2 linked regions of the Caenorhabditis elegans genome follow. The protein of the gene in region 2 purifies or fractionates together with the protein of the main gene of each other region. This does not show direct contact. Each region holds a gene or a part of one and is shown on either strand. Other genes may lie near its edges.

Region 1 (4,821 bases), on a different chromosome or scaffold from region 2:
TCTCAACCAGTTCAACTGACACCGCCTAGTAGAAGCGGAGCCCTTGCTACAGTCGATGAGCAAGAAGAAATGCAATCAAACTTCACACAATTCTCATTCCACAATGTTATGGGAAGTATCAATCGAATTCATGAAGCAAGTGAAGACAACGAAGATTATGATATGGGATAATTTGACACCACAATGGCTTGAATTTAATTAATTGCGATTTTAGCCTGTTTTGCAGACTGTAGAAAACTGACCCCTTTGTCTGACATTCAGATATCCTTTTTTAAACAAATATTTAGTCGTTACAGTGACTATATTTTGATCTATTCTCAGTAAATATCGAATTAAAATGAGAAATCTCTTTGTTTTCATCTCTTCCTGTTCTGCCTCCTTCCCTTTGTATACTATCCTTTTTATTCACCTGAGACCGTAGTTCTTTCCATTTCAAAATTCCATCATCGTTTTGTAATATTACTCACAAGCTACGGTTGTGAAAACCAAATAGCGCCATCATTCGTGGATGTACTATGTTCCTATATCATATCCAACAATCCAAATGAAAGAATTTTATCCTCGTATTTTTATTATGGAATGACAAAATATGAACAAAGAAACATGCGAAATAAATAACAGATCAGTACTATAAATTAGATCTTTCCAGTAACAAACTCGTGAACAATCTGTGGTACAGCCGAATCGAATCCGGTAATGTCGAGCATACCAGCATCAGATGGATCGGCAATCGAGTAGTCATATGCCTGCATTGCCATCACAATGACCTTCGCGTCATGAATACCAGAAGCTTCACGATACTTTTTGATGGCTTCGAATGGATGAATCTCTCCAGCCCAGGTATCGTTGTCGGTGTAGATAATGAAGACATCAAACTTGAGATTATTTTCTGTTGCCCAAGTCATTGGAAGGCCACAATCTGTTCTGCCGAACTGAAAATTCAATAATTTAATATTAAATTCAATATTAAAATCATTATGAAACTTACATCAAGGTTGTTAACGTAGTCATTAACTTGTCCGATCTTCCAATCCTTAGTAAACGGAAGCTCAGTGAGCTTATCACAGAAGGCGACACATCTAACTTCGGCTTCATTGTGAAGGTTGATCAAAGACATTCCGGTAGCAGCTTCACGGCATGAGAGTGGTGACGAACTGACACGAGAGGTCATGCTACCAGAAACATCGAGAGCCAAGCAGTATCGTTTTCCAGTTGGTGGTGCATTCACGAATGCCTTGTAGAAGCCAGCTTCAAGGGCGTCACAAATCTTTTGATTTGGCTCCCAAGTGAGACTTCCCTTGTCACCACGACCTTGAGCATAGACAGCACGGGCAGTCAGAAGATTTATTGGATGAATTCGAGAACGACGCAGCTCCTCTTGATCAGTGAGACGTTTCACGATATTGTCAACTCTCTTCTCATCAAGGGCGCCCACAACGGTCATTTTTGCAAGATTTCTAATCATAGCAGTCATTGGCATTGAAACATCGAAAAGTGTTTCCCATACAAGTTTTGAATTGAGACTTGTAGTTGGCAGATGCTCACGGACAAGTCCATGTTTCTTGATAGCTGCTACGATGACTTCCTCGCTTTGTTCGTTTTTGAGCTTGAGGTACGCTTCCACGAGGTTGAGAGCTCTGAAAATGTTTCTTTGATATTAATTTTTAATTGAAAAATAAATTATAACTATATACTCAAGAATAAAATTAAAACCGAGAATGGTCAAAAATCGGACCTGCTCTGTTCTTCCTTAATTAATTGTTCCTCGGTGTACGGAAGCTTCAACGCTTTCTTATCCCAGACCTTCTCAACTTCAGCAACTTCCTCGACAGACATCTTTCTCTTTCTTTTCACTAAATCTCCCTTGACCGCAAATCGGAACAATTGCTCTCTTTCAAGACGATCTTCGCTTTGGCCATGAGAACGGCTATCCATAAGATTGGGATGAGCAAGTCGGAAAAGATCGCGATGAGACCATCCCTCACGTTGTGGGTATTTTGTGAGCAACATTGCCAACTTTTCAGTTGTCTTTGTGGTATACCATTTGCTGATGGCGTTTCTCATTGAACGACCCCATCCAGTTGAAGATTTAGCACCTCCTGCTTTAGTACTTTCAGAGATTGTTTGACAATAATCAACGAATTCGAAGAGATGGGTTGGTGTACGGCAAACCTCCGGAATAAGATCGAGCGCTGAATCATGAAGAGCTCGGATATAATCTGAGTAGGCATTGAGCATTGGACATTCAGTTTTCTTCGTTGTGTCATGAGTAGAGATTCGAGCACAAATTGCCAATGTGAAGATCATTGCGTTCATCTTTGGATTACGGTTTTCAGCATTGATCAATGCCAGCTCTTTCAAAACCATATGTCCGTTACCCTGCTCAATAATTTTGATGATTCTTTGAGCGTTGTCTATAGTGATCTTTTCAGACGACTGATGATAGCTTCCTTTGTCAGAACCGAGGATCAAGAAGCGACGAACTTGAGTTTCATCAGATACAGGAAAAACGAATCCTCCGGCGTTATTCTCCACTTGACCATCCTTGACTTTCTCCATTTGACGAGGAACTCTCTTGAGTTCACCATCGACAACAGTAATCTCAACATCAGATTCCAGCATTTGCATACGGCGAAGTCGGGCGCAGACGCTGGAAAAAAACGTTTCTATAGCGTTTCATTTTGATGAAAACTTACTTAGAGAGTCTCATCAATGCCTCCTCGTTAAAATTTCCAGCCTCTTGGAATTCATTCAACTCATCAGCCATGATTGGTTCTGAAATAAACAATATTACGAAATGTTTTCGAAGAAGACGAGAAAGGCGTTGAGAGTTTCAAAAATTGCTAACATGAGAGCGGAATAACTTGGCAACGAAAATCAAAAATTCACTGAAAAGGAATGTTTGTGGGAAAGAATGGAGTTGAAAATGTAAACGAGAACGTATTTGAGATACGACAGAGAGTATGAGGAAGTCAGAGAAAACGAGTGAAAGGAAAGCAAACGATTTTTATAGGGAAACTGATGGGTGGAGACAAAATTTGGAAATGTTTCGAAATGTTCAAGTGCTGTCAGTTATTACTTGAAATAAATAGCAATATTTTGAAAGTTTTTGAAATACTAAACATTGTGAACATTACATACGTGTGTTTTTTTTTTAAATTAAACATTTATTCGCTTAAATTTGATAATTTAAATGTTTTCTGTTATGTTCAGAGGCAATAATTGAAAAATTAAAATTAATAAAACATTTGAACAATTTATTCAAACGTGGGGCTTTATAATTATGAATGTTTCTACAAAAAGTACGCGAAGAATATCAAAAAAAATTAAATTAAAATTTTAATTAATAAAAAAAATTAATTTTAATTAGGAGTAGGTTTTTCTGTGAGTTGGCGTACGCTCACGTGCAAATGAACTGTTTTGCACACAGTAACTACTAAATTCAATACTGTATACAGATATATCTAGATACTGTATACAATACAATGAGTTTAGCGGATTACATGTAATGATTAATTTGAGTTGATGAAAACTTTCCAGCTCGCGAATGCGAAAAATAATTTAATAATTATGAAAAATTGTATTCTGCAGAAGGGTTCTGTTATACAAAGGATGCACTTTCTGAGAAAGACCTGGCGCAAGCTTTGCATTTGGCATAACACTAGAAAATTAAATTACCAGTATTCCAATTAAAAAAAGTTATTTCATATGCACCTATTCAACAATAGCAATTATTTTGGGACACCAGAGAAAAATCGTCATCTACATTTTTACATACGAAGGTTAGATTCAAATATTTCATATTCGAACCAATTTTTTTTTGGGTAAACTGTCGTCTGCCAAGTTCCACTTGTCTCCGACTTTTCGAACTTTTAAATGTATTTACAGAAAACACATTGACCCATCTCACAAGACAAACATTCGATTTCTTTGCTCTGTCACACCGATCACAATATTGATCAAAGGAGCATGTCATGGTATCTTATCAAAATTGGGACAATCGTCATATCAATTGAAGAAAGAGCACAAGACACATAGTCTGTTAGTCTCTCACTGACCTCTTTTTTATTCGATTTAATATGCTCCAAGAGCCCACTTCTTCTACTTTGACATGCAAAATTTGTTGTGAACCAGCTCATGGTGTTCATTTTGGGGTTGCTTCTTGTCGAGCATGTGCAGCATTTTTTCGGTTTGTTTTAAATATAGAATTGGAATTTAAATATGAAAAATCCGTATAATCAAAATTTCAGTATTAACCTATATTTCAGAAGAACAACCGTACTTGGAAAGAAGTATACATGCCGTCAGAAAAATGAAAAATGTACAACAAACAACGAAGATAGATTTAACTGCAGATATTGCCGTTACCAAAAGTGTCTCTCAAATGGAATGACACCTGAAAGTACAGGTTCTTCACATTTCAAAAACTAAAATATTTTCCAGATGTCAAATATAATTATGATGCAGCTGTTCATTACAACAAGAAACCATCTCCTAAAATGAAAATCGATGCTCACGAGCCACCATCCGACCCAAGTTCTCCGGTGAATTCAGATCATAAAATATGTGTTCCTCAGACGAAGGATGTTACTTATGAAGTTCAAACTGATGAAAAAGGAGAGCCAATTGTCAAATTAGACATCACTGGACTTCTTAATAATATTACATCCGTTTTCGACGATTTCGTACCTTCCGAGGAAATTCGAAATTTGAATACTTTGCAAAGAATGAATCACGCTTTGATAGAATACAGACAGATACATCACAGTAATGTAATTAAAGTAAGATATCAGTATCACGGAAGTCTTTATTTTCATCCTT
Region 2 (3,574 bases):
ACAGCTGGATTTAGGAAGAAAATCGGTTCTTTTATGGAAAAATAAACTCTCAATACTTCGAATGTGGGAAAATATGAGCAAAACCTAACAAATTGGGAGAAATGTGGGGGAAAAGTAATGTGGACTGAAAGCGCTAAACAACACGCGCGCCCGTTATTTCGGAGTCTCGTTTTTGGCAATTTTTCAAATTTCGAGTTTATTGACTTTTGAAGTTTGCGCTACACACAGGCAGAACTATTACGGGAACAATAAATTCTGAGAATCCGTATTAATAGCGTATTGCGCAACATATATGACGCGTAAAATATCTCGTAGTGAAAACTACAATAATTCTTTAAATGACTACTGTAGCTGATACTTTCGAAACAAATTGTTTTTAGGATTGTGGCAGGCGATGTTTAATTTTCCTCTAATTTTTCGTGTTTTTTGTCAATTCGATGCCTTTTTTATAGTTTTCATCAAAAAATTAGAAAATAAACAACGTAAAATCTGATCAGCGCTACAGTAGTTATTTAAAGAATTACTGTAGTTTTCGCTGCAAGATATACATATGTTGCGCAATACGCATTCTCAGAATTCAGTGTTTCAGTAATATAATATGGTATAGAATGCACACAAAAGCCACAAAAGAAAATAAAACGATAGATTAATGTTAAAGATTTTTTATTCATCAAAAAGTTGTTGCAGTGTCTGGTGGTTTGGGTTCAGTTTTTCAGATCATTAAAGTTGGGGTTTAGTGTACAGCGCAGCCATAAAGAAAATGAGGGAAGTTTTTTTGGAAAAAATATTTGAAATAAATATATTAGGTTGAGATGATGAGTCCGTAGGCGTCGAAGTTTACTCGTCGTCGCCAGCTGCCTTCTTGTTGTCTGGCTCTTCTCCGTTATCAGAAGCTCCACGTTTTGTCCCACGTGGTTCAGCGTCTCCTCCCTGAAAAATTGAAATTAAGAACATACGTTTCTGAAATATGAGTCCGAAAACTAACCTCTGGAGCATAATCGTCAGTCTCGTCGTCGGAGAACTGGCTCTTCTCGAGATAGCTGAGTCCGGGTCCATCTTCATCGCCGCTTCCCTCCTCGCTGTCTTCTCCTCCCTCACCGGCAAACTCCTCCTCAACTTCCTCTCCATCAACATCGCATCCATCAAGAATCTTCAGCGATGGAATCATCTCGAACATCTTCTCACGATAGTCCTCGAGGAGTCCGAGACTTGGATTATTCGACAAGTCGAGCTCGAAAAGATTTGGAAGAACCTTTAAGCACCGGAGATTATCCAAAGAGAGCTTGTTGCTGGCGAGTGTGATCTTCTTAAGATCTGGAGCATTTTTCACAAGAACATCAAACGAAGCGTTGTCTCCAAGCTGATTGTCACTGATATCCAAATAGGTAAGAGCTGGAAGAGTTGGGAACCCGGCGAGTGTGGTGAGTCCGCACTTCACCATGCTGAGCATCTCCAAGTTGATAAGCTGGTCGGTGAGTCCTCCGATTTGTCCATCTTCAGCGTTGTCGAGGAATAGAGTATCGACAGTAGCTGGATCCCTCTCTCTGAGCTCTTTGACGTAGATTTCGGCCATAGACGGCATGATTGAGGATGTAGTCTGAAGGTAGAGGCATTAAAATAAAGTTGAGATGTAAGAGACAAGAGAGAAAATTAAAAAATCGAACAGAAAATGGAGTTTCTTTCCGAATTGGAAACAAGTCGAATAAAAAAAGCTATTTAGACGGTCACAATCAGTATAAAAATGCTTAGTCCATTTAGAGTCCAGTTTCTTACATCACGCACGAATGACTCAAGAAACACGGATAAAATCAATGAAACGATGGTGCAGCAAATTTTGGAAGGCTATGTTAAAAATTCCAAGCGAATAGACTGATTCTATTCGCTTTATATACGATTCTATAATGACAATGAACGCGCAACGCTCAACGAACGAACAAAATCGATACACTGCCAAGAAAAAAGGCCTAAATTAGGAGGAGAGCGCGCGAAAAACAAATTTGGTTGCGCGCGCTGAGAATCAAATGCATTAGCAGTGGAGCGCGTTTGTACACCACTGACGAGGGGAACATGTGAAGGTGCTCAGAGGAATAGCATAAGAGACTTATGTCAGTCGATAGACCATGTTTAGAAACGGTGATTTGAAAATTTTTAGCGGCGAATCTTCAGAACCAAGTTCACGGCGTACGCTCAAAGAAAGCGAAAACAACAATGTAACTGCAAACACTAACAAGGGAAGTAGACGAACTCAATCTCTGATTTTGGTATGGATAATACTATTTGATCGGAAAAATACCATGTCATGTCAAAGTCTGAGATTAATTTCATCTACTTCCTTTGTAATGGGTCAATTTTCAAAATTTTCCAGATATAAGCATAAAAATTGCATCAACAGCATTAACATATTTAACAATAACATTTACCGCACTTCACATGCTTTAATCTCAAACAAAGATTTTTTTGATAAAAAACTTTCAACTCCAAACGTGTAAAGTTGATAACTTTTCCATCAAAATCCGCGGAGACATGAGTTTCCGAAGTGAATATTGATCCCTAAGTGCTACGTTACAGTGTTGTTTTAGATGTCTTTAAGAGCATGTCGTGAGCTTGATTATGGAGACTTGCAGCTAAAAGTTTACGGATAACCGTTTCTAAACATGGTTCATCAAACGGCATAAGTCTCATATGCTACTCCGCTGGGCAGGTTTAGGGGCGGATCGAGGGCGGATCGAGAGCTTCTCTGGAAAGTGAGCTGGCGAAAGGAAAAATTATAGAACATATATAGAACATATATTGAACAATATGATTATTGAATAGAAATTTGTATTTTTTTCACAAAAAAATGAGCGAAAATTGTATTTTTCTGTGTGAAAAAATACATAAAGTGAACTAATTGGGATCAATCAAATTAAAACTAAATCTTCTATGCGTTTTTGAGCTTTTGTCGGATATTGTTTCCCAGATGTTTCCCAGAAAGTTCAATGACTTCACTCTGAAATCCACTCTGAAATCCATAAAACCTACTACACACCTCCGAGAATTCGATAAAATCTCATCAAGATGCCCCAAATTGTTCGATGCGCCTCTTCTCTGTGAAACGAAACGAACATATCCCTGCAGTATTCCACATAGATTTCACTGAGTTTGCTACCAAAATGTCAGCTGAGAAAAAGGAGGTTTCAAAGGTTTGATTTTTTTTAATTGTATTGATTTTCGATTTAAAAACAAGATTTTTAATCCAAAAAAATAACTCACTATTTTGCTTCAAAAAATAAAATAATTTACAGTCAGAAGCTGGTTACTACTTTCTCCTTGAACTTGCATCGGCATTTGTGCTCTCGGCGGCTCATAATGTACTATTTTTTGTATTGGACATTAAGCTCATCGCCACAAGCTTCGCCCAGTTTTTCTTCACCTTCATTTTTCTGAAACTGATCCATTTTGCAAATTATATTCCACAGGCGCATATTCCCAAGAAGGTAAATTTGTTTTCGCCATTTGCAAGTAAAGCTCCTAATCCGAAATTGTGACATCGGATTTTGGCACAAACAAGACTTTTCTGCTACCGTACTCGTAG

What was found.
Region 1: the proteins of F33H2.3 (region 2) and rop-1 fractionate together in Caenorhabditis elegans (co-fractionation; one large-scale study listed by BioGRID). This does not show direct contact.

What each region holds. Positions count from the first base shown.
Region 1 is NC_003283.11:10,252,281-10,257,101, forward strand, and holds rop-1 (RNA-binding protein RO60), read right to left. Parts: upstream 2,776-4,821; 5' UTR 2,768-2,775; coding exon 2,697-2,767; intron 2,651-2,696; coding exon 1,736-2,650; intron 1,638-1,735; coding exon 989-1,637; intron 933-988; coding exon 636-932; 3' UTR 558-635; downstream 1-557. Other genes in the region: Serine/threonine-protein kinase akt-1, read left to right, coding at 1-171; nhr-232 (Nuclear Hormone Receptor family), read left to right, coding at 4,080-4,189, 4,269-4,402, 4,444-4,781. UniProt on the Caenorhabditis elegans protein: RNA-binding protein that binds to misfolded non-coding RNAs, pre-5S rRNA, and several small cytoplasmic RNA molecules known as Y RNAs.
Region 2 is NC_003279.8:15,032,540-15,036,113, reverse strand, and holds F33H2.3 (Acidic leucine-rich nuclear phosphoprotein 32-related protein 1), read right to left. Parts: upstream 1,600-3,574; 5' UTR 1,583-1,599; coding exon 986-1,582; intron 931-985; coding exon 838-930; 3' UTR 647-837; downstream 1-646. Other genes in the region: F33H2.8 (TPT domain-containing protein), read left to right, coding at 3,075-3,182, 3,285-3,476.